Linked DNA regions of Tribolium castaneum. Each later gene encodes a partner of the first gene's protein in a complex. Links are inferred from orthologs where the notes say so. Each region holds a gene or a part of one and is shown in the gene's direction. Other genes may lie near its edges. The genes, in order: eIF3m, eIF3g1, eIF3c, CSN6, eIF3k, eIF3b and eIF3i.

Region 1 (3,401 bases):
GGAGTTGGTGCGTGAATTACGTGACCATTATACCGAAGTTTTGATGCAGAGATGGGTGCAAGTCTTTCGGGAAATTCTCTCGAAGGAGGATTTTCAGCCGATTCAAGTGTACGATCTCGAGGAGTATGAGCATATTTTGTCGTCGTTTCCATGGGACGAGGACTTGCCCAACGATGTGGTTTTCCCGCACAAGTTCCCCTTTTCGGGGATGGTGCCCAAGGTCTACCAACAAGTCAAGGAGTTTATTTACGCGTGTTTGAAATTCTCCGAGGATTTGAATTTAAGGTTTGGTTGTTGAATAATTCCAATCGAAGTGGGCTGTGACTGAATTGTAGTCAAGTGGAAGTCGACGAAATGATCCGCAAGTCGATGAATTTGCTCCTGACGCGGACGTTTAGCGGTTGTTTGTCGTCAACGTTTCGTAGCCCGCACATCAATCTTCAGGAAATTATCCAAATAATCATCGATACGGGCTATTTGGAGGAAGCCACGGTCTACTTGGACCAGTTTATTTCAAATATTACAGGGTAGGGCACAAAATTAATCCGCCAATAAAAACAAAACATTTAGGGAGGAGTCTCGAGGGGTGTCCACGGGAGTGGTCCAAGGCCAACCAGCCATGTTCCGCGTGGCTCGTGAAGACGCCGTGCGCCAAATTTGCGAAAAATTGCGCCAAAAATTGAACGAGTTTTACGAATTGGAGAGTTATGATTGGCTGTTGGGTGAGCCGTCAGGACACGCCTCTAGTTACATCTCCGATTTGATTGCTTTCCTCCAGACGACGTTTCAGAGTTTCACCAATTTACCGGTTTGTTGATTGGTTTTGTTGATTTTTTATCGAGTGATTTGTAGCCGGAGGTGGCGCAAGTTGCGTGTAAGTCGGCGTGTGAACACATTGCCAATTCGATGTTTCAACTGTTGATGAATGACGAGATCAAGCAAATTTCCATGGGGGCCTTAAACCAAATCAATTTAGATTTACTACAGTGTGAACGTAATTAATCGAAAAATGATAACCGGAAATTTAAACAAGTTTTACAGAATTTGCGGCCTCTGAGCCCGTCAAAGGCCTACAAGAGGACGTCCTCTTGTCGTATTTTACCAAACTACGGGAGACTTTAGACCTGTTCACGTCATGGGACTGGCCCACTTATTTCCACGACTATGGGCAAGAAACCAGCAAATATAAGCAAGTCAATCCAGATGATGCGATAGTATTGCTCGAAAAGTAACAAATCGGGTTATTAAACCACAAGTTAATTGATTCTTGTAGATTGAAAGAAGGCGATAAGAAAACTATGTTCACAGTATTGAAAAAGAACGAAAGAGACAAGAAGAAGTTACTGGAAACGGTCCTAAAACAACTGAGACAGCTGACCCAAATAACGCCCAACAAATAACCGACTTGTTGAATTAAATAATAAATTTTATTAATTATTCGGTGTTTTAATTTTTGTGGCCAACTTGGCCACCAAATTTAAAAAAGTAACAACTTGGCGTTTGCGCATGCGCATTGCCAACATAACCATCAAATTTGCGGTGTGGTTTTTCCCCTTAAAACAGTTAAAAATTGCAAAAAACCGTGAACTAACTGTAGAAAAATGCAAGTGCCCCCTGTCTTTATCGACGTGAGTCCCGAGGACCAGGTAGGCGCCCATTTGTGGCATTTTGTGTCCATATGACACTTTGAGGTTATGTTTTAGGCGCAAGAGCTCCGCATTTACTTAAAAAGTTTAGGCGCTGAAATTTCGGAGGAAAAATCAGTCAAGGGCATCGAAGACGACCTACACAAAATAATCGGCGTATGCGAGGCCTGTTTCAAGGAGGGCCAGGAGCCCGAAGTTGAGATGGTGCTCAACGACATTGTCTCAATCATGGTGCTTGTAAGTGTCTCGAATCATTTGCGCGTGGTATTGGACGTGTTTTAGATCCCGGCCGACCGGTCCGAGAACATCATCCTGGCCTTTTGCCAGAAGCTGCTCAAGGCTCAGGGCCCCAAACTGGGGCTGGTGTGCCTGCGCGCCTTGTGGCTGCTGTTCCAGTCGCTTGACGAGACGTCCCCCATGCGCTACCACGTCTACTACCACTTGATTTTAATTGCGGAGAAAACGGACCAGGTCAAGTCGGTGTTCCAGGATATCGAGCATTTGAAGCAACAGTTCGCCCCGTGTCCACCGACAAGCGAGCAGTTGCAGATTCTGTACCGGTTGTTGCACCAGGTGCTGCTAAAGAGCAACCACAGTGAGCAGGCTGCCAAGGTCATGATCGAACTTTTGGGGACCTACACCGATAAGAACGCCTCGCATGCCCGCGAGGACGCGATCAAGTGCATCGTCTCGGCCCTGGGGGACCCCAACACCTTCCTCCTCGACCCCTTACTGGCCCTAAAGCCGGTCAAATTTCTCGAAGGGGAGCTAATCCACGACTTGCTTAATATCTTTGTCAGCGAAAATTTGGCAACGTATTTGAAATTCTACCAAGAACACAAGGAGTTTGTCACGTCGCAGGGGTTGAACCACGAGAAGAACATGCAAAAGATGCGGTTGTTGTCCTTCATGCAACTCGCTGAGACCAACCCGGAGATCAGTTTTGACGTGATTGAGAGAGAGTTGCAGATCAAGGCTGAGGAGGTCGAGGCGTTTATTATCGAAGTCTTGAAGACTAAACTGGTGAGGGCCCGCATGGACCAAGCCGCTCGGAAAGTCTACGTCTCAAGCACCATGCATAGGACTTTTGGGCGCGCCCAGTGGCAACAATTGAGGGATTTGCTCCACTCGTGGAAAAGCAACCTCAGCATGGTCCAGGAAGGGATGAAGAACGTCACAGCGGCACAGCTCGAAATGTTGAACCAACAATAATTGTTTTGTAGCGATTAATTTAAGAATAAAAATTTTGGAACTAGTTGGGGATTTTTATTTTAATACCACGTCAAGTAACTAACTAAATTTGCTGCTTAAACTACGAAAATTACATTATTGCGCCCCATAATTTAATGTGGGGGTTTCACCCGCCACGTGTCGCACGTTCCTTGCCCCCAATCGGGGTCAAGAGCCGCCGGTGCCGTTTCATGTTGGCAGCACTGTGTGGTGTTGTGGCCGCTGATTCCGATTTTGTGGGAATTCCGTGCCTTCTTCTGATGCAATCACAGTTTAATTTCCGCTAGATAACACCGAAGAGTGCGTTTTGGTGTTGGTGTGTTAAATAATTGCAAATTTGGTGGTTGGAGTTAGGTTATGTCGAAACGTGTGCAGCCCCCGTGGTCGGCGCCGGAGGCGTCTGGCGGTCCGGTCCTGAAAGTGTTCAATAGTCTGACGCGTCAGAAGGAGGTGTTTAGGCCGATTTCGGGCAAAAAAGTGACTTGGTACAGTTGCGGGCCGACTGTTTACGACGCCTCGCACATG
Region 2 (2,970 bases), on another chromosome or scaffold:
ATGATTTCAATTAAAAAAGATTATTCGATAACTTATTTTAAAAATGATTTCAATTAAAAAATGGTGGAGGCGCCGGGTTGTTTATTTAGTAAAATTTTATAATATTAATAATAAAATGCTAAAATGAGTTTTCTCATTTTATTTTATTTTATAAATTGTCCTAATTTATATACAGGTGTCTCAGTAATGTGAAAAAGTCCATTATTGGCTTAAATTTTAGAAAATTAATTTGACTCACCTAAAATTATTTTCAGGTATTATAGGGTATTTTTGAAATTAGCTAAAATGCAAACATATGTTTTTTTAAATAGAACACCCTATATTTTTTTGCACTTTTATATAATTTATAATAATTTTCAAAGAGGACTAGATTTTTTTTTGATTTTTTTTTCAGTTTTAAAAATTATTTTCAGAATTAGATAAAGCAGTGACCGCATTTTAAAAAACTTTCTCGCCTACAGCCCGAGTAAAAGAATGTATCCTGGAAATCAGTTTAAAAAATGTGCTGTAGAACACTGTGGAATGTGACCAAAATTCGACTCTTTTTAGCTCCCTTTATTATAGTTTGGAACACATTTCTTTGGCAACCCATTGAATACATCCTTTGGATATTATGTTTGATAAAAAATAAGTTTCATCCAGTAAGCAGATCGGTCCAGGACGACCTTAGCTGGGATCCTCTATTAGCAAAATCAAATTTTTTAAAATCACGTTGCTCAATTTTTACATATTTCTCTGAATGGACGAAAATTTAATTAGATCTAATTTAGCATTCCCTTTATACATAATCGTATTTTTATTGGATTTCAGAGACATTTCAAGTTATTTTAACTCAATTTCTCTTTTTTATCTAAGGCGGCGCAGAATGTTTCTTCTCTAGAAGGCTGTGAAAGATTTTTTCTAAAGCAACAGAATCGTAGCCGTAGCCTTCTAGAAGGATACCTAAATTTTCACAAATGTCTCAATTGGCGACAATACATTTATAAATAATAAGCTGCATTTCTGCACATCATCAGAAGCAACATGAACCAAAATATCAACTATTTTAATGTAGGTATACTTACGGCGTTACACAGTTGCGACAGAAAGTTTCACAAGCAAAAAAACTTTATTATAGCCAATAAACGGATGCAAATTTAACACTCCCGACACAAATTTAACTAATTTAAGAATGCAAAACATTAACTATTGGCAAAAGAACGCAAAACACAAGTCACACATTTTCTGTGTACAAAATCTAGTAGTTGATGGTTTTCAAAGCCACCTTTCCGAATAAGTTTCCCAATTTTAAAATTTCATTACAGAATCCTGTAATTATGTGTTTGTGGGTTTGTAACACGACAGCCCCGTTTGTCGGGGTTTATTTATTAATCGGTTTATTAAATAAATTTTAAAATACATGGCTTTATTAAATATCAACAAAATTAAATTGTATTGCAAAAAACAAAAATAAATAATTTGCAACGAAATTCCCCAAAGGTTGGCGAGTCTGTTGTTTGACAGTTTGAGGTTAACTTTTGTGAACGTGATTGTCGCACCATATTTTCCAAAAAAACGTTTCAAAATTAGCTAAAAATGCCTGTTGCCGAAGAGGTCAAGTCCAGCTGGGCTGACGAGGTGGAGTTGGAGGGCGGGTCGCTCCCGCCCCCGACCGAGGTGTACGAAAACGGCTTCAAGATCGTGACCGAATACGCGTACAACGAAGACGACAAAAAAATGAAAATCGTGCGGACCTACAAGATCGAGAAGCGCGTCGTTTCAAAATCGATCGCTTTCCGCAAGACTTGGAAGAAATTCGGCGAGTGTGCCAACGACAAGCCTGGCCCGAACCCGGCCACCACGATCGTCGCCGAGGACGTGTACATGCAGTACATCACGAGCAAGGAGGAGGACAACAAGCAGGAAGACGACGCTTTGGAGAAGCTGAAGGCTCTGGGCGACAAGAACGTGGTCAAGTGCCGCACCTGCAGCGGGGACCACTGGACCTCCAAGTGCCCCTGGAAGGACACCATGCTGGCCGGGGGCAAAGTGCCCGACGACAAGAAGGGCCCGGCGGTTCCGTCAGGGTCGGATGCGGGCAAGGCCGGGGGGTCCAAGTACATTCCGCCGAGTTTGCGAGATGGGGCCGTCAGGAAGTCCGATAATCTCAATATGGCGCGCAGAGACGACGCCACGGCGATTCGAATCACCAATCTTAGTGAATCTACCACTGAGACTGATTTGGAGGATCTGGTGAAGCCGTTTGGCCCGATCCAGAAGTTGTATTTGGCGAAAGACAAACAAGCCGGTTATTGCAAAGGATTCGCTTATATTCATTTCAAGTTTAAGAACGACGCTGCTAAAGCCATTTCTATGCTTAATGGACACGGTTATGATCATCTTATACTCACGGTGGATTGGTCTAAGCCACACCCTAATTGAAATGTATTTTATAAGTTTTATTTGTATTGAATAAAAATGCTTTAGCTAATGTTGCGTTTTTTCAAACCTACAATACAACAAAATACGTAGACATTTCAGTTTTAAATAATTCGAACAGAGGTGAAGATTGGTACAGGTCTTAGGTACACTATTAAAATAAAATATAGAAAATTCTCAAGTGTTGAAACTATCAGCTCTTAGCATTTTTCGCGTAAACGGTAGGTAAACATTACGGTAACTTCTCGGAAAAATAAAAAATCCCAAGCAATTGAGTTTTTTTAACTCGAGAGGTTTGTAAAGGCATACAATACCTGATAGAACTTTGCTAAAGCTAGTTAATTGTTTTGTTTTTTTTGAAAAGGTAAAAAATCTTAGACAATAGTTTAAGAAGTCTGCAAAATATTAACTATTGCTGGCTAATTTAGCAAATAAATAAGGTTGGTTTTTGGTTATAAACTAACCAATAAAAATAAAATAAAAGGTTAATAAACTAACTAAAAGATTTATTAACCAATCAAAGAACCTTCTGGTTATTTAATATTAATAAGT
Region 3 (4,274 bases), on another chromosome or scaffold:
AAATCAGCAAAATTTTCCTTTAGATTCTCTTCTCTCGCTTATAAAAATTCTTGTCTAGTTTCTTTTAGAATTCTTCTTGTTCATTTTTTAGCATTGTTTTTTTACTGTCTTTTAGATTTTTTTAAAGATTTTTATGATTATCTCCTAAAGACTTCTTTAGATCTTAAATCCGCAATTTTTTTTATATTCTCCTCTCTCGCTTATAAAAATTCTTCTCTAGTTTCTTTTAGAATTGCTCTTATTTATTTTCTAGCATTGTTTCTGTACTTCTTTTTGGATTTTTTAAAGGTTTTTGTGATTCTTTTTTAAAAATTTTTACATGAATTTTAATGTTAAAATTCCTATTAATTTAATACCAACATGACTATTAAAATTTTATTTCAGACGATGAGGCTGAATCAGACATTCCAACAACTTTAATCCGTTCAATCGCCGACGTTCCGTCATTTGAACTCACCACAACCCTCACAACCAACGACATTGTCATAAATAAATTAACCCAAATTTTAAGTTACTTGCGCCAAGGCAACCGAAAGAACAAAAAAACCAAACGGGGACTCCCCGAAAGTCGCGAAAACGAACAACCGGAAGAACCCGAACCGAAAAAAACAACAAAACGTACAACCGGTGATGACTCCATCTATGGAGATATTGGTGATTACGTACCCACAAGAAGTGGTAAACATGGAAACTCGTCACGTGACCATAACAAACACACGTACTTTGATAAACAAGAGGAAGCGCTTGAAAATAGCGGACCGACTTTCAAAGTCAGTAAATCGGCACAAATCCTTAATAAACTGGCTCAAGAGCCTGAGGGATATGCTGAGTGTTATCCCGGATTGGAGGAAATGAACGATGCGATTGATGATTCTGATGATGAGGTTGATTATTCTAAGATGGACTTGGGGAATAAAAAGGGGCCGATTGGACGCTGGGACTTTGACACAGCTGAGGAGTATTCCGATTATATGAACCAGAAGGAGGCTTTGCCGAAAGCAGCCTTCCAGTACGGCCTTAAAATGGCAGATGGGCGCAGGTCCAGGAAGCATAAGGATAAGAACGAAAAGGCGCATTTGGACAGGGAGTGGCAAAAAATCCAAAGCATTATCAAGAAGAAATAATTTTGTTGTGTATTTAGGAGATAAATAAGTTAATTTAAATAAAAAATATATATTGGAAATTTGATTTTCTACAACTTTGTTCCTTACTTTTTTGTCTTACTATCGAGAGTTTAATGCTCTATGTGCCTGTATTTTTTCTTTGCTATCTGCTAATGGAACAAGTGCGCTCTCTGGTGACAATAAAGGAACTACCGAAAACGCGAGCGTTTCATTTGTACGTCTTTGGTATCTTAACCGTAGAATCCTTACTTTTGACACAACTTGAACCTAAATACCACCACCTAACCCTGGCTCTCGACTTAAGGGCCCTTTCGTGCCCAAAAACAAATTAATTTGCCCTTTTTTTACGATATTACCATAACACTACCAATCACAAGACAAAAAAGTCCCGATTTTGACAGTTGGCACAAGTTTTTGGCCATTTTGTGGTTACAATCGTGTCGGAAAATCTGTTAAGTGAAAAAAAGGCTTTAAACACGTAAGTTTTGCCTCTTTCACGTGTATTTTACCTTAAAATTGTGGTTCCGACATTTCTAACTATAATTTTGGGGAGTTCCGTCTCCAAACATGAACCACATGGGCCCCAGTAACTAGCTTTAAAGTAGTCTTAAATTAAGTTTTCGGTCTTCATTTGGCCCAAAGAAGCGAAAAACCGTTACCTAACGCCAATTTAACGCCTAGTTATTGCGTTATTTCACGTAATTTTTTTGAGGTTATGTCACTTTGTAGGTAAAAAAATGAGTCGTTTTTTCGCCGGTTCGGACTCAGACTCCGACAGCTCCTCCGAGGAAGAGCCAATTCAGCGCGCGCCAGCGCCCGTTTTCACCGTAAGTGAGCCCCCATGTAGCTTAACATTTTTTTAATGGCCCCCTTCTAGTTTAGCGACGATGAAGAGGAGGTCAAACGTGTGGTTCGCTCCGCCAAAGAGAAGCGTTACGAGGAACTCACTAACATTATCAAACAAATCCGCAATTACAAAAAAATCAAAGACATGAGCAGCATGTTGACCAGTTTTGAAGACCTTCAGAAGGCCTACGTTAAAGCGCTCCCAGTGATCGCGAAAGAAGAATCGGGGCAAACGCCCCGTTTCTTCACCCGTTGTTTGGTCGAAATGGAAGATTTCATCAACGAAATGTGGGAAGATCGCGACGGACGCAAAAACATGAGCAAAAACAACAGCAAGTCTTTGGCTTCAATGCGCCAGAAGTTGCGCAAGTACATCAAAGATTTCGAGGAGGATATTGCCAAGTTTAGGGAAAACCCCGACCAGCCGGACGATGAAGAAGAGGAAGAGAAACACGAGCCTGAGCCAGACACTCAAACTGAAGCGCCGGCCAAAGCTGTGGCTAAAATTTCCAAACAGATTGTTGATGATGAAGGGTCGTCTGATTCGGACGATTGGCCTAGTGATAGTGACTCGAGTTCGGATAGTTTTGATGAAGATGAAGGGAAAGGGACTATGAGGGAGCGGTTTTTGAAGAAAACTGGGCCGGCGCATGAAGATGATGAAGAACGCGATCGGAGGAAGGAGGAAAGGAGGAAGGAACGTAAGGAGAAGGAGAGGCGGAAGGTGAAGAAGGAGGATGAGGAGGATGGGGAAGGGGAGTGGGAGTTTGTGAAGGGGGGAATCGCAATTCCGAGCGTAAGTATCAGTACTTTAAATGTTTTTCTATTAAAAAAAATGAGGAATGACCTCTTTTCTTTTGTTATTCGGCTGTCTTGATTAGATAACACAGTACAATGAACTTTTTTTTTATAAAAAAGCTTAATAAGACCTTCTTCTATGACATATTAAAAATTTGGAAAGATATTATTTATGATTTTCTTGTTAGAGTCTGTCAAAAATAAACATTCTTGAAAAAATCAATAAAACAAAGTAAAAAATTCCGCTGTCTTGATTGGATAACACAGAGCAATGAACTTCTTTTTTATAAAACAGCTTCAGAAGACCTTCCTCTATAACATATTAAAAATCTGGAAAGATATTATTTTTGGTTTTCTTGTTAGAGTCTGTCGAAAATAAACATTCTTGAAAAAATCAAATAAAACACAAAGTTAAAAATCCCGCTGTCTTGATTGGATAACATAAAGCAATGAACTTCTTTTTTATAAAACAACTTCAGAAGACCTTTTTCTATAACATATTAAAAATCTGGAAAGATATTATGAACAATGAACTTCTTTTTTATAAAACTTTTTTATAAAACAGTTTCAGAAAACCTTCTTTTATAACATATTAAAAATTTGGAAAGATATTATTTTTAGTTTTCTTGTGAGAGTCTTCCAAAAATAACCATTCTTGAAAAATTCAAATAAAACACAAAGTTAAAAATCCCGCTGTCTTGATTGGATAACATAAAGCAATGAACTTCTTTTTTATAAAACAACTTCAGAAGACCTTCTTCTATAACATATTAAAAATATGGAAAGATATTATTTTTGGTTTTCTTGTGAGAGTCTTCCAAAAATAACCATTCTTGAAAAATTCAAATAAAACACCAAGTTAAAAATTCCGCTGTCTTGATTGGATAACATAGAGCAATGAACATCTTTTTTATTAAACAACTTCAGAAGACCTTTTTCTATAACATATTAAAAATCTGGAAAGATATTATTTTTGGTTTTCTTGTTAGAGTCTGCCAAAAATAACCATTCTTGAAAAATTCTAATAAAACACAAAGTTAAAAATTCCGCTGTGTTGATTGGATAACATAGAGCAGTGAACTTCTTTTTTATAAAACAGCTTCAGAAGACCTTCTTCTATAACATATAAAAAATTTGGAAAGATATTATTTTTGGTTTTCTTGTTAGAGTCTGTCAAAAATAACCATTCTTGAAAAATTCAAATAAAACACCAAGTTAAAAATTCCGCTGTCTTGATTGGATAACATCGAGCAATGAACTTCTTTTTTATAAAACAGCTTCAGAAGATCTTCCTCTATAACATATTAAATATTTGGAAAGATATTATTTTTGGTTTTCTTGTGAGAGTCTGTCAAAAATAACCATTCTTGAAAAATTCAAATAAAACTCAAAGTTAAAAATTCCGCTGTCTTGATTGGATAACATCGAGCAATGAACTTCTTTTTTGTAAAACAGCTTCAGAAGACCTTCTTCTCTAACATATTAAAAATTTGAAAAGATATTATT
Region 4 (3,952 bases), on another chromosome or scaffold:
TAACAACTTTGTCAAAAATGAAGTTTTCAAACTAAATTGTCAGTTTTTTTGAGATTTATTTTATTTTATTATTCTTTTTGTCATTTTCGAGCGTTTTGCTAAAAACAAACAGAAAATGAGAAAGTTTTGCCGAACATATTTTAATTATTTTTGCCTTTTTTGATTTTTATTGGCGTGTTTATCTTTAGGTCATTCAACAATTCAATAAAGAGTTTGAAATTGAAATAGGCAAAGAAATCAATAAAAATGAGTTTTTTTAACAAAAAAATTGATTAAAGACATAAAAGCCCATTTAGCTACGTTTTCGTTCCAGAAAAAATGAGCACCCAAAAAGGTAACGCCCAAAGGAGTCGCTCCCAAAAACATCAAAACAAAACCGCCTTCAAAAACACCCTCCACGACACAAGTCAACGCACGAAAAACATTAACAACATCCAAATCAGCGACGTTTGTGTCCGTTGCAAGGAAATAATCGAGTGGAAAATAAAGTACAAAAAATACAAACCGCTCACACAGCCACGAAAATGTGTCAGATGTGATCAGAAAAACGTGAAGAAAGCGTATCATGTGATGTGTACAGACTGTGGAAAAAAATTTGGTGTTTGTACAAAATGTTGTGAAACGAAAGAAGTTATTACAACAAAACCGGACGAAAAGGAACAACTCAAACTGGACAACGAAATGAAGAATTTGCTACATACGCTTCCGGAACGCAAACGGAGGACGTTTTTGAGGTACATGAGCAAAAAAAGTGAGGAAGATTCGACGAATGACGAGGAGAGAAAGGAAGATTTGAAAAGCAAACTCAACGCGCTTAAGATTGACGATGACTTGGACGACTTCAGCGATTTTGATGACGTTGATTCGTCGGATGATTAAATTTTGTAATATATTGGTTGTAGAATTTAATTAAAATAATAAAATAAAAGAGCGAATATTTTTATTTGTTGCACCACGTTCTGTCAAAGCGATCTTATTTGTCATTTCGGTTAATTATCTTGTAATAAATTATATGCGTCCTACAGAAATAATGGAAGTGATGACGTTAATTCGTCTAATGAGTAAATTTAATTAGGTATTTGAATTTAATAAAATTTGAGGAATATGTTAATATGTTGCGTTTAAGTTTGGCGCCACTTGTGACATTGACATCTGTCAAAGGGTCAAAGCGCTGTCATTTGTCATTTTGTTAGCGGTGTTATTTATACATTTTGATTCAATTTCTTGTAATAATTAATATGAGTACGAAAGAATCAATGGAAATGGAAGTCGATAATCCGGCTTCTGCTGATGTTGCAAATAATCCGGCGGAAGATTCGGAAAAAAGTGTGATGGCAGCTGGGGCTGTCGGTTCTGTGACTTGTTCATTGCACCCTTTGGTGATAATGAATGTTTCTGAGCACTGGACACGTGAAAAGGCTCAAGAGGGCTCAGTCCAACGAGGTACGACACCATTTACAGTATAGTTAGTTATTTATAATGTTACATTTTAAGTGATTGGGGCTTTGATTGGTAAACAGAAGGGGCGAAACATTGAAATAATGAACTCATTTGAACTGGTATTTAGTGTAATTGGAGGGGATGTTATTATCGACAGGGATTATTACAACATGAAGGAAGAACAATGTAAGTATGTACCGTGTGGTCAACGGAATTTGTAATCACTAATCAGAGTAGGGAAGATTTTTTCTGTATGGTTGGTTGCGTTTGTTGTAATTGAGACTCATTTATTTCTTCAATTTCATTGAATAAGATCTGTTGTAAATTATAATGAAGTTTAGCCAGACTGCAAATTTTTTGTGGGAGGTAGGCAACGTTTAGGGTTACCATCAGATTTTTTTTAGCTTTGGACACCACAATAAAATGACTAACAACAATAACTTACATTCTTATATTATCGTATTATCGTATATAAAATACTCTGGTAATGGCATCTTATTACCTGACTTCTCGTTTGTATTAAGAATTTTTACTTAGTTTAATAAAAATAAATTTATTTTCAAATAAAATATTACAAAACCAAAAAAACATTGCCAATAGTTTTAATAGTATGTACTGATACAAGAAATATAACAAACAGCATTAGTATAAAAAATATTGTAGTAATAATATTGTACAGAGTGCTGTATTTTGGATGTCGGAATAGGAGATCTCCGAAACTAAGAGATTTAGAGAAAAACAAGTGACACATTCTTGGGTCCGTTTTTTGAGAATATAATCTTGGTCTAAACCGCATCTTGCTATCGTTTTTTGTTTTCGACTTATAAACAAAAGTTGACATTTTAGTGTCAACTTTATACAGAAAAAGCGAAATGTATTTTTTTTAATATTTAAAAAGAATGTATTACACATCAAATCAGAAAAAAATTAGCTTTACAAAAATATTACAGCCTCCTATAATTCATATTTAAAAAAATAAAACTTATTACAGCTAAACGAAAGGTTAAAAAAATCGCTGATAACATTTTTAAATTCTCTGTAAAAAGTGCTTGTATAATGTTTGTGTTTCAAATGTGTATCTTTTATAATAAGGAAGATATATATGATTTTTTTTAAGATTTCGTTAAAATGTCAAGTTCTGTTGATAAGTCGAAAACAAAAGATGATAGCGGGATGCGGTTGACCAAAATTATTTTTTAAAAAAACGGACCAGAAAATGTGTCACTTGTTTTTCTCTAAATCTCTTAGTTTTGGAGTTCCCCTATTCCGACATCTAAAATGCAGCAGCCTGTACAATGAGTGTTAGAATGATTCACATCTAATCATCTGTGAATTTCTCATGTAAAAGAACATATAACTAATGATAGGCATTTAGACATTGAATATTAACATTCTGTATTTATTATTTCAAAGTTAACTAGATGAGAATCATTTAAAAACACATTGTATAAACAGTAAACCACCTTTCTGCATCATTTTTTTTGCAAAACTATCCGGTATCCTGTTTGCAAAATGTAAATTCAATTTTTAGAAGTTGTATATCTACATTTTTCCAATTCACTCCAAGTTTTTTTTAATATTCAAAGTATTTGTTGGAAACAACTAGATAGTTTCGAATTCAGAAAAATTACAGATGGAATTAAGCGTTCTATCGCAGAGTTTTTAAAATTGGTCGTTAATTTTAATTTTAGATACAACAAAATTTAAATTACCCTAAGAAAACTGGACATTTATTACAAATTAACATTTGATCCGGATACCGGACATATCGTCTAATATCCGGATTGTATTGAGTGAAAACCGGACAGGTGGCAACTCTAACAAGGTTGCTATAAACTGTAAAGTATGGATACAGTAGCTGAAAATTTTATAAACAGTAAAGTTCATGTAAATGCGGAATAATATTTTTCTGACTCCTGTGAGTTCGCAGTAAAGCGATGGCAGTCCATTTACCGAATACGGTGTATATATTTTTTCATTTTTTTTTTTATTAATTTTTCTCAAGTTTTGCGCTTAGTTATGACAATTATTCGCCTTTCAAGTTAAGACCTTTGGTTTTTCTGGTTGTTAATTGTGAAATGCTGCTTTGCCATATAGCGGGAAATTTAAATGTAATTTTTTTGAAAAGGTACAAACGTTTTTTGTCTGTTTGACACTTTTAATAGATCTTTTATGGTACTCTAGCTGCCAAAATCAAATTTCGCAAGGGAGTGGTTCACCAGAGAGCGCAGAGATCTTGGCTTGAAAGGTGAATACAAATAATAAAAATAAGAAAACTACTCTTATTGTAAATTCAAACACTAGAAAACACAAAAATTGTTTGTTAACAATCTATTGCAGTCAAGCAGGTGTTCAGTGACATGGATTTCATTGGTTGGTACACCACCGGAGACATCCCCAACACCACTGACATTAAAATCCATAAGCAAATATGCGACATTAATGAATCTCCAATTTTGCTTAAATTAAATCCCTACGACAAAAACATTGATGTTCGTACACAGGCTGCATT
Region 5 (2,651 bases), on another chromosome or scaffold:
CTCCTAACCTCAGTTTTAAGTTTACGAAACGTCAAATCACAAACGAAAAGGGGCGTCGAAGACAACAATGAGTAAACATCCCTACAATTACGGTGCTACTGCGTCCACTGACGTAGGTTTCATCGGTAAGCGCTCCCCCGAATTCAATAATTTATGCGATGGCGTCGTAACAAACATTTACACAATCAACTCAAGTCTCAAGACCTTAGACAACGCTTTAAAAACAATCGGAACCAGAAAAGACAATCAGGGATTAAGAAGTTCAATGTAAGTCTTTTCCCTTCTGGAATTTCAATCACTTCCCTAATTCTAGACACGTCACTCAATTGAGCACAAACCAGATCGCATCAGTCACAAGCAAAGACATTCACAAGCTCAAGCAACTTGTATCCAAAAGCGAGAAACAGCAGCAGTTGCAAGTAGAAAAGTTAGAAGAGAATTTTAAAGAAGCGATCACGCGCTACTATTCCTTACAAAAGGACTTGGCCAACAAGCAGAAATCACATTTATTGGTTTCTGTAAGCATAGAAAATGACTACACGCCGGAAGAAGACACAGAACAGCAACGGCAAGCTCAGCTTGCACGCGAAATGGCGTTTGAGCAAGATATGCTCATGGAGAGAGAAGCTAGGATTAAACAAATTGAAGCCGATGTACTTGATGTTAACGAAATCATGCGCGAATTGGGGTCCTTAGTGCACGCCCAAGCGGAAACAATCGGTATTGAGCTAACTTTTAAAAAAATCGGGAGATTAATCAACTCTTTTTTTAAGATACTATTGAAAATAGCATAGACCATGCAACTGGCAATGTGGAAGAAGCGACAGAACAGTTAATTACAGCAGCGAGTTATCAGAATAAGTATAGGCGCAAGTTGCTATTCATGGTACTGATAGGACTTGCAATAGTTGCAATAATTATTATAATACTAGTTGTACAGTTTAAAAAGTAGCTGCGTAATATTACTTTTCTTTATAATTACTCAAACCTGTTTTTGTGGTGAATAACTGCTTGATATATTTATATACAGTATACACAGACTTTTTATAGCAACTAATCTTATCATAGAATTTATATTTATTTATGTAATTATCTTAATCACAAAATATGAATGATATTTAGTTTTTTTGTATAATTATCCATAAAATTCTATGAGAACCGCAAAAAATAAGTAGTGACATGAAACACTCTGTAGTTAAAATGTAGGCAACACATAAAACAACAGTTCCCTATCGCTTACAGCGGCCTCTGTTCCAAAAACTTTGAATTTTAAACGTCATTAAGACGTGTTTTTTGAGAAAGTTGTGCTTTTTTCTCATTTTTTAGTGAAAAACAAATTGAAAACCATGGCCGAAGCAATGAAACAAACTGTGGCAGCAATGCTTAAAGGCATTGAACGGTATTGTTATTCTTTTATTACGTTTTTTTACCATGCATTGGACTTAACCTCTATTTTCAGGTACAACCCTGATAATTTACCGACTTTGGAGCACTACGTGGAGATACAATCGCGCGAAAATGCCTACGATTTAGAGGCTAACTTGGCCGTCCTTAAATTGTACCAATTTAACCCTAGTAGCTTCAATATCGACATCACAAGTCAAATCCTGCTCAAGGCTTTGACAAACCTTCCAAACACGAATTTTATTTTGTGCAAATGTCTTTTGAACGAACGACAGGTTAATAAATTCAGTCAATATATTTGTTTTGCAAAAAAAAAACATTTTTTAGCTGGCGGAAGAACCCATCAACCAAATTATCTACTTGGCCGACATTTTGGAACAGTGCGATTTTCAATTGTTCTGGACCAGAATCCACTCAATGCCAGAGTTGACCCAACGAATTACCGGATTTTTAGACTCAATCCGGAAATTTGTGTGTCACGTAGTTGGAATCACGTATCAGACCATTGAAAGGTCCCATTTGGCCGAATTATTGGGAGACGTTGATGACCTTACGTTGAAAGTCTGGGTCAATAAGTATGGATGGAAGGAACAGGGCCAGTTGATTTTCATTGCCAATCAAGACGAAAACATCAAAACTAAAAATATTAACGAGAAAATCGATTTCGAAAATGTCGGAGCCATTATGGCTTCATGTCGCTGATTTGTATTTTAATTTTTCAATAATAAAATAAAACTACTTCGTGTCTACGGACCTCTAAATGCTAGGATACGAAACGACCAAATAAATCGTCCCCGTCCTTGATAGTTCCGTTAATATCACCAGAGAGCGCAGTTACTTGAGTTTTCAGAGCAATGAACTTGAAAAAATGGTTGCATTTGTGTAATAGTTAACACACAGCAATAAAAAAATACAAGCAAATTGGGGATTAAATTTCAATAGTAAGACAAACAATGCAAAAATTTTATCGTAAATTATATTTTAAATAAATTAAAACTTTTGGCACTGTGTCCCATATTTTTCAAAAGGCTGCGAATACGCTTACAGATACAAAAAAGTGTAAGGAACAACGTTGTAAAGAATTAAATTTCCTATCAAAAAATTCGCGACACCATATCTTTGGCACTCAAACCGTTGATGGTCTCCCAGACTTTTTAAAGGAAAATATAAATTTCTTCCTTTTATTTTATATCTTGTTTCGTCTCCTACAGAAGTAATAATCTGTATTCGTGTGATTGTTTCGGATG
Region 6 (3,296 bases), on another chromosome or scaffold:
GGCAATTCATATACAATATGCTCAAAATTCCTCATGAAAATTTTGTTCACTGTTTTTTAACAAAAAAATAAATTGGTCAAAACTAGAGGTTTTTTCTGTGTAGTTTTAAACGAAACAAACTTTTTTGCTAAGGTTTTCATCAAGTCACAATGTTTTTTACGAAATTTAGGGTTGTTTTCCGGTAAAAATAGAACTGTTGAATTTTTTAACAGTCTTCAAATGGGAATCCAAATATTGGAAATGGATATTTATTAATTTTTTTTAATCTGATTTTAATTTAACACTTATGTATACCCTGGTTACGTCTGTTATATTTGACGGAAATGCTGTACTTTAGACCCTCTATGTAGAGGGTGTTAGGGAATGGCTTAGCAATATTGTGTAAGTGAATTTGTCATGATCAGACGAGTTAAAAACCCTTATATAATTTTTCCAAAAGGTGCGTACTTTCTTTAAAAAAAAAATATTAACCCACCTGTTGAGAGCCACTGGGCTTATGGTAGTTTATTAGCGGTTATTATTATATTTTTTTTTTTCATTAAATAAGGCAACATTTTCATTTGTGCGGAAGGTTCGAATCCCGGTCTTGGCAAAAAAAATATTTTTTCGTAAACTTTAGTAACAAAACACAAATTGAAATAGAAGAATAACGTAGTGAACCAACAAGTTATTTTAGCTCAGCTGTTTTGCCAATATTATTAGAATTTACGCTAAATTTTATAATTCTAGTTCAGCGGTTCTCAAATTTTGAGAACAAAAGTTCAGAACAAATTCTTTGAAAAACCATGCATTTTTGATTTACATAAATTTACATAAATCTTTAAATTTTTGCTAAGCCATTACCTAACACTCTGTATTTAAATAATAATAAATCATTGGCATAACTAACCTGATCTTTGATTAAATTTACCGTTTCTTTCAATTTTTTCAAACAAAAAGTTACAAATTTTATTTACTAAATACTTAATGGTACAGTAGCAGATACGGAATTTTGAGCACTTCTGTCACTTCGTAGTCGAAAGGTATGGAGTATTCCATACGTTTAAGTCAACGAAATGTCATAGGCGTCCAAAATTTCGCGTCCGCCACTGCACATATTATTTGTATTATGTTCGAAGGTTGGCAGAACTGCACTGAAGTTAAATGTGGTATTACGTTAAAGCTTTGGATAAAACAAAAAAAAGTATGTCAATTTTTCACTTTCAAAATTGAGACATTACCAGTTGGCTTAAAAATCCCTAAATCGATTAAAATAACAAAAAGTGCAAAATGGGGACAAATTACACAAAACAGTATAAAAAAACTCGTTTCATAAAACCTTGAAGTACTTATTCTTTAAAACTGAATTCGTGCTTCAAGACTGGTTTTATGAAACTTGTTTTCTAATATACTATTTCCACACAGATATTTTTAAGCTTATTTTTTACAAATGTGAACCGTGTACACTTTAAAACCTGACTTTTTAGTAAAAAAAATTAAATGTCTAAACTCATGAGTTTATATAATTTTTTGAAAACACTTCTTAACTAATTGTTGCAGAACTGGCCAAGAAAAGCGTTCTTTCAACCCTGAAGGCCCCTCCTCATGGCCGATTTTCCGCTGGTCTCACGACGACAAATACTTCGGACGCGTGGGCAACGACGTCCTCTCCATCTACGAAACCCCCTCGTTCGGTCTCCTTGAGAAAAAATCAATCAAAATCAGCGGCATCCGCGACTTCAGCTGGTCGCCCACCGACAACATCGTCGCCTATTGGGTGGCAGAAGACAAAGACGTTCCAGCCAGCGTAACCCTCCTTGAAATCCCCAACCGCAACGAAATCCGCAAGAAGAACCTCTTCAACGTCGCCGATTGCAAAATCCACTGGCAAAAATCTGGCGATTATCTATGCGTCAAAGTCGACCGTTACTCGAAAGTTCGCAAAGAGAAAAATGAGACGAAGTACAGCGGAATGTACTGCAACTTCGAGATCTTCCACATGAGGGAAAAACAGATCCCGGTGGATAGCGTCGAGAGTAAGGAACCCATCCAGGCGTTCGCTTGGGAACCGGTCGGATCGAAGTTTGCGGTCATACATGGAGAATCGCCGAATATTAATGTCAGTTTTTACGAAGTGAGAGTGGGACAAGCCCCAATTCTGCTTAAAAAGTTCGAGAAAAGGGCGTGTAATCACCTGTTTTGGTCGCCCGGAGGCCAGTTTATTGTTTTGGCGGGGTTGGGATCGAATGGTGGTGGATCATTGGAGTTTGTTGATACGCACGAGTTTTTGGTTATGAATACGACGGATCATTTCCAAATGTCGGATGTCGAGTGGGATCCGACGGGAAGATACGTCACGACGTCCGTTTCGTACTGGAAAACCAAAGTTGATACAGGTGGGTTTTTGGCTTTTAAGCTTGATTTAGAAATTGATACCGAACCTCTGTAATTTGAAGTATTGTTGAATTGAATGAATTATTCTTGCGGGGGTTTTCCCAGATTATCGTTTTTTTTTTTGGGGGGGGGCATAGTAGAGAGGGGCAGTATATTTTGTTTGTTTTTTTGTTTATTACTACCAACGTTTTGCCAGTTTTTATGAGGGGGGCTTCTTTAGGGCAATAAATAATTAGCAAACCATTCGTGCAGAAACAACGAGGAGGGGAACTATTTTGTTTAACAATAAATAAATAAACCAAAATAAATTGCACTGTGTCTGTTATCCTAATAAATAATTAAATCTTACTCAAATTAAACTCACAACAGACGATGAACCGTGAATCAAAAAAACTAATAACATTTTTAACCAAATTTGGTTTTCAGCTTTTGGGTCAATTAACAAAATCCGTTATTTTCGAGGTGCTTTTCTAAACGAGCTCTCAGAAAATAAAAGAAAATTTTGAAAATTACTGAATAGGTCAATTTTTATTAACAAGGGGAGACTTTTTGGTGCACTTTTAAAGCACTTTCAAATACGAACACCCTAAAAAGATTGAAAAGCATGATCTCAATTGTGATTCCTCAAATGAAGGGTATGTTTACTAGAAAATTTGCTGTCTTGTTTTTGACTTTCAATTTTTTTTATTTTACATGTACTCTGAAAGTTATAATGAATAAACAAACTTGACAAATTTTTTGTCAAGTTACGTAAAGTATCATTAGGTGAATTAGTCACATGTTTAAAATTCAAAACATTTAACAAAAATGTTTATATTAAAATAGTATAAATCATAATTTTAAAATAAAACGACCTTTATATTAAAGGAAACAAGACAAAGTGGAGGCTAATAATTATAAAATTCATAACAAATACTATTCTA
Region 7 (3,486 bases), on another chromosome or scaffold:
AATTTCATGTTATTCAGTAGTTGGATTTTTTTTCATTACAAATTGACGCAATTGTATGTAAATATTTAGAGTATTGTGTTATTTTACAATAAAATTCTTGTTCAGATTTTAATTGGAGTTTTTTTTATTAAGCAAGCAAAAACTTTGGCTTTAACTTTTAAAATGTGCGACTTGATATAAAGGTAAGTTAAAGTTGGATTAAATCTTTAGTTTCTTTGTTTTTTATTACACCCTGTACATATTTCGAAAAAAAGTGTTTATCCCCATTTTGTTTCTTTAGTTTACAGTTGCTGAAATCAGTAGGACGCGTTCTTGCAAAAATTAACAAAGTCGCTACACGGGTAGGAGATTGAAAAAATAAAGTTTGAAAAGTCAAGGAGTTTTCAAAAAAGAAAAAAAGAAAAAAAATTCAATAAGATTACAAGGAATATTTGTCCCCACTTCATTTTTTTACAAGCCAAGGCCCTACTGGAGCGCTTTATTACTAGCAAAAATATTTATTATTTACACGGTAAAAGCGTTGCGAAAATTAAGTTCTAAAATTCAAAATAATTTTGAAAATAAAAAGAAAAAATCTGTTAGGTTTTAAAGAGTGTTTACCTCCACTTGATTGTTTTACAGTCGAACACTATCCAAGAGCTTTATTTCCTGCAATAATAAACAAAATTGCAGTACGGAAAGCCGGTTGAAAAAAATGAAGTTTAAAAAGTAAAACATTTGCAAAAAAACAAAAGAAAAACATTCAGTAAGCAGAATGTTTGTCATCAATTAATTTTTTTACAGTCGAAAGTCTCATGGCTAGGCTATATATTCCTTGCAGAATTGAACAAAATCAATAAATGGGAAGGGGGTTAAAAAATAATGTTTGAAAAATTAAAATATTTTCCAAAAAAAAAAGAAAAAAAAATAGGTAAGGCCCCAGGGAATATTTATCCACACTTAATTTTTTTTACAATCAAATTCCCATCATCAGGCTTTGCTTCCTACAAAAATTAAAACACGAAAAGGGAGTTGAAAAAATAAAGTTTAAAAAGTTGAGATAAAAAAAAGATTGTAAGGTCCCAAGGTCTTAAATTAATGGCTCTACTTAATTTTTTTACTGCCAAAAGCCCTTTATTTCATACAAAAATAAACAAAATCGCTACAATGAAATATTATTTTAAAAGATTAAGTTTGTAAAGATAATAATTAAAAAAAAAAATCAGTAAAGGCCCAAAGAGTTTTTAATCAATAATCACAGTTAATTTTATTACATATTTTTCCCAACTGCTAAAAATTGCCAAAATGGCAATAACGCCATTTATCAGTTAATTTTGACAATACGGTTATTTCACCTGAGCCGGCACTGACTTAACCCCGCCACTGCACAACCCACCATGACAGTTAATTTTGACACCTCTTCTGTCAAACAACCGTCAAAAAAAGCGTGTTTAATCATTAAAATCCTTAAAAAAACGCCCAGTTTTTTAACAAAATGGTAAGTAACGACTCACAATCAATCGAAAAAAACGCCCCACAACCGTAAAACATTACATTACCCCACAATTTCACCCACATATTGTTCGCTTAAATTTAACCTCAAAACCCCCACAGAAACCCCTTCTACTCCACGGCCACGAACGTGCCATCACCCAAATCAAGTACAACCGTGAGGGCGACCTCCTCTTCTCCTCCTCAAAGGACAACAAACCCAACGTTTGGTACTCCCTTAATGGCGAGAGGTTGGGAACCTTCAACGGCCACCAGGGGGCTGTCTGGTGCATCGACGTCGACTGGACCACCACTAGGTTAATAATAATAATAAATTTATTGCTGCAATAAAGCAAATGGGTGCGCGATAAGGTTGCCTCAGTAGCGAATATACAGGGTGCCTCACCTAATACTTTTGAGCCTGATATCTCAGTTATTTGTCAACGTATTTTTATGAAAATTAAAATGCAGATATTTAGGAAAGTAAAGATTAAAATCCAATTAATGCAAAAACTGAAGTCTTAAAATCGTAATTTTAAAATTAAAATTAATAAAACAGATATTAATCTCGAAAGTTTTAGGTGAGACACCCTGTACAAGTTTTGATTAATTTGCTTTTACTGATTTAATCAAATACTACTTAGACCAGAAATATCACCTATTTTGCTACTTTTTAAACTATTTAAACTTTATAGGTTCCTGTCAGGTGCCGGTGACAACACCCTTAAAGTATGGGACTGTGAAACGGGCAAAGAAATCGGGAACATCTCAACCAATTCATCAGTCCGAACGTGTCTGTTTAGCTACTCGGGCAACATGGCAGTGTACACCACCGACAAAGCCCTCAAACACAACTGCGAGATCTTCATTATTGACGTCCGTAACGTGGACGAAAGCATCTCGCACGCCGACCCCATTTTACGCATCCCGATTAAAGGTTCCCGTGTTTCGTCAATCCTATGGGATAACCTGGACGAAACTATAATAACCGGGCACGAAAACGGGGATTTGATCAAGTGGGACTTGAAGTCAGGCAAAGAGATCAGTTCAACACGTGAACACGAACATTTAATCAACGATATGCAGTGGAATAAAGACGGGACAATGTTTGTGACAGCGTCCAAAGACCACACAGCTAAACTGTTCGACGCTGCTGATTTGATGTTACTGAAGACTTACAAGACAGAACGGCCGGTTAATTCAGCTGCCATTAGCCCCATTTTTGAGCATGTGGTTGTGGGCGGAGGGCAAGATGCCATGGATGTGACAACCACGTCGGCAAGGGTTGGGAAATTTGACTCGAGGTTTTTCCATATGGTGTTTGAAGAAGAGTTTGGGAGGGTTAAAGGGCATTTTGGGCCGATTAATAGTGTGGCGTTTCATCCAGATGGCAAGAGTTATAGTTCAGGAGGTGAAGATGGTTATGTGAGAGTGCATAATTTCGATTCGTCATATTTTGAGTATAATTTCGATTATTAAATGGATAGCTGGTATTAATAAATTTTTTAATAAAACAGTTTGGTTGTTTTTGTTCCTAGATTACGTCCAAGTCTAAGTTTTCGGAGCAATGATTTTAAATAATGATTATACAGGTGCTCCATAACTTTTTTTCTATGCAAGCTATCAAGTTGAATTTTTTTGAAACGCTAGGTTTACTATTGTAAGACTTATTAGGCACGTTCTAAAAATATTTTAATCTGTATACAGAGTATTCCAAAATAAAATACCTAACTATGTTCTGTTTTTTTTTAACAAAAACCCGGATTTTATGGATTTATCTGTCATAGCTTTTTGACTTTTTGACAGAAAATACACAAATAAAGCCCTTGTTAATGTGTTTTTCGTTCGTTTGAAACTGAAATTTAATTACGAAAATAATTTTGGTAAATTTTATTCCGGCGCTTCCAACTTGTGAAATGTAACTAAAACATTCGAAAAAGCAAAAATAATGAAATTTTCAGCTCCGTATTACTGCATTTAGTTACGTTTTGTGTTTTTTGAGACTGAAAAATTACT

Evidence for each region.
Region 2: eIF3m (region 1) and eIF3g1 share a complex: the UniProt entries of both Caenorhabditis elegans proteins name them as parts of the eukaryotic translation initiation factor 3 (eIF-3) complex. The link is inferred for Tribolium castaneum from reciprocal best matches to the Caenorhabditis elegans genes cif-1 and eif-3.G.
Region 3: eIF3m (region 1) and eIF3c share a complex: the UniProt entries of both Caenorhabditis elegans proteins name them as parts of the eukaryotic translation initiation factor 3 (eIF-3) complex. The link is inferred for Tribolium castaneum from reciprocal best matches to the Caenorhabditis elegans genes cif-1 and eif-3.C.
Region 4: eIF3m (region 1) and CSN6 share a complex: the UniProt entries of both Caenorhabditis elegans proteins name them as parts of the CSN complex. The link is inferred for Tribolium castaneum from reciprocal best matches to the Caenorhabditis elegans genes cif-1 and csn-6.
Region 5: eIF3m (region 1) and eIF3k share a complex: the UniProt entries of both Caenorhabditis elegans proteins name them as parts of the eukaryotic translation initiation factor 3 (eIF-3) complex. The link is inferred for Tribolium castaneum from reciprocal best matches to the Caenorhabditis elegans genes cif-1 and eif-3.K.
Region 6: eIF3m (region 1) and eIF3b share a complex: the UniProt entries of both Caenorhabditis elegans proteins name them as parts of the eukaryotic translation initiation factor 3 (eIF-3) complex. The link is inferred for Tribolium castaneum from reciprocal best matches to the Caenorhabditis elegans genes cif-1 and eif-3.B.
Region 7: eIF3m (region 1) and eIF3i share a complex: the UniProt entries of both Caenorhabditis elegans proteins name them as parts of the eukaryotic translation initiation factor 3 (eIF-3) complex. The link is inferred for Tribolium castaneum from reciprocal best matches to the Caenorhabditis elegans genes cif-1 and eif-3.I.

What each region holds. Positions count from the first base shown.
Region 1 is NC_087400.1:753,795-757,195, reverse strand, and holds eIF3m (eukaryotic translation initiation factor 3 subunit M), read left to right. Parts: upstream 1-1,471; 5' UTR 1,472-1,601; coding exon 1,602-1,646; intron 1,647-1,703; coding exon 1,704-1,883; intron 1,884-1,928; coding exon 1,929-2,858; 3' UTR 2,859-2,901; downstream 2,902-3,401. Other genes in the region: Sec15 (exocyst complex component 6), read left to right, coding at 1-285, 336-527, 571-808, 853-994, 1,042-1,228, 1,274-1,400; CysRS (cysteine--tRNA ligase, cytoplasmic), read left to right, coding at 3,234-3,401. UniProt on the Caenorhabditis elegans protein: Component of the eukaryotic translation initiation factor 3 (eIF-3) complex, which is involved in protein synthesis of a specialized repertoire of mRNAs and, together with other initiation factors, stimulates binding of mRNA and methionyl-tRNAi to the 40S ribosome.
Region 2 is NC_087395.1:17,787,696-17,790,665, forward strand, and holds eIF3g1 (eukaryotic translation initiation factor 3 subunit G), read left to right. Parts: upstream 1-1,458; 5' UTR 1,459-1,575; coding exon 1,576-2,421; 3' UTR 2,422-2,470; downstream 2,471-2,970. UniProt on the Caenorhabditis elegans protein: RNA-binding component of the eukaryotic translation initiation factor 3 (eIF-3) complex, which is involved in protein synthesis of a specialized repertoire of mRNAs and, together with other initiation factors, stimulates binding of mRNA and methionyl-tRNAi to the 40S ribosome.
Region 3 is NC_087401.1:16,334,285-16,338,558, reverse strand, and holds the start of eIF3c (eukaryotic translation initiation factor 3 subunit C), read left to right. Parts: upstream 1-1,474; 5' UTR 1,475-1,606; intron 1,607-1,853; exon of another isoform or gene 1,854-1,856; 5' UTR 1,857-1,861; coding exon 1,862-1,951; intron 1,952-2,001; coding exon 2,002-2,766; intron 2,767-4,274. Other genes in the region: beag (protein Red), read left to right, coding at 385-1,124. UniProt on the Caenorhabditis elegans protein: Component of the eukaryotic translation initiation factor 3 (eIF-3) complex, which is involved in protein synthesis of a specialized repertoire of mRNAs and, together with other initiation factors, stimulates binding of mRNA and methionyl-tRNAi to the 40S ribosome.
Region 4 is NC_087398.1:15,420,553-15,424,504, forward strand, and holds the start of CSN6 (COP9 signalosome complex subunit 6), read left to right. Parts: upstream 1-1,152; 5' UTR 1,153-1,238; coding exon 1,239-1,443; intron 1,444-1,494; coding exon 1,495-1,626; intron 1,627-3,780; coding exon 3,781-3,932; intron 3,933-3,952. Other genes in the region: uncharacterized protein C9orf85 homolog, read left to right, coding at 319-879. UniProt on the Caenorhabditis elegans protein: Component of the COP9 signalosome complex (CSN), a complex involved in various cellular and developmental processes.
Region 5 is NC_087402.1:8,161,871-8,164,521, reverse strand, and holds eIF3k (eukaryotic translation initiation factor 3 subunit K), read left to right. Parts: upstream 1-1,239; 5' UTR 1,240-1,346; coding exon 1,347-1,399; intron 1,400-1,459; coding exon 1,460-1,679; intron 1,680-1,731; coding exon 1,732-2,106; 3' UTR 2,107-2,151; downstream 2,152-2,651. Other genes in the region: Syx13 (syntaxin-12), read left to right, coding at 68-267, 314-720, 774-952. UniProt on the Caenorhabditis elegans protein: Component of the eukaryotic translation initiation factor 3 (eIF-3) complex, which is involved in protein synthesis of a specialized repertoire of mRNAs and, together with other initiation factors, stimulates binding of mRNA and methionyl-tRNAi to the 40S ribosome.
Region 6 is NC_087399.1:10,626,930-10,630,225, forward strand, and holds part of eIF3b (eukaryotic translation initiation factor 3 subunit B), read left to right. Parts: intron 1-1,539; coding exon 1,540-2,375; intron 2,376-3,296. UniProt on the Caenorhabditis elegans protein: RNA-binding component of the eukaryotic translation initiation factor 3 (eIF-3) complex, which is involved in protein synthesis of a specialized repertoire of mRNAs and, together with other initiation factors, stimulates binding of mRNA and methionyl-tRNAi to the 40S ribosome.
Region 7 is NC_087394.1:748,471-751,956, reverse strand, and holds eIF3i (eukaryotic translation initiation factor 3 subunit I), read left to right. Parts: upstream 1-1,349; 5' UTR 1,350-1,474; coding exon 1,475-1,477; intron 1,478-1,593; coding exon 1,594-1,787; intron 1,788-2,165; coding exon 2,166-2,949; 3' UTR 2,950-2,986; downstream 2,987-3,486. Other genes in the region: mitochondrial carrier homolog 2, read left to right, coding at 1-1. UniProt on the Caenorhabditis elegans protein: Component of the eukaryotic translation initiation factor 3 (eIF-3) complex, which is involved in protein synthesis of a specialized repertoire of mRNAs and, together with other initiation factors, stimulates binding of mRNA and methionyl-tRNAi to the 40S ribosome.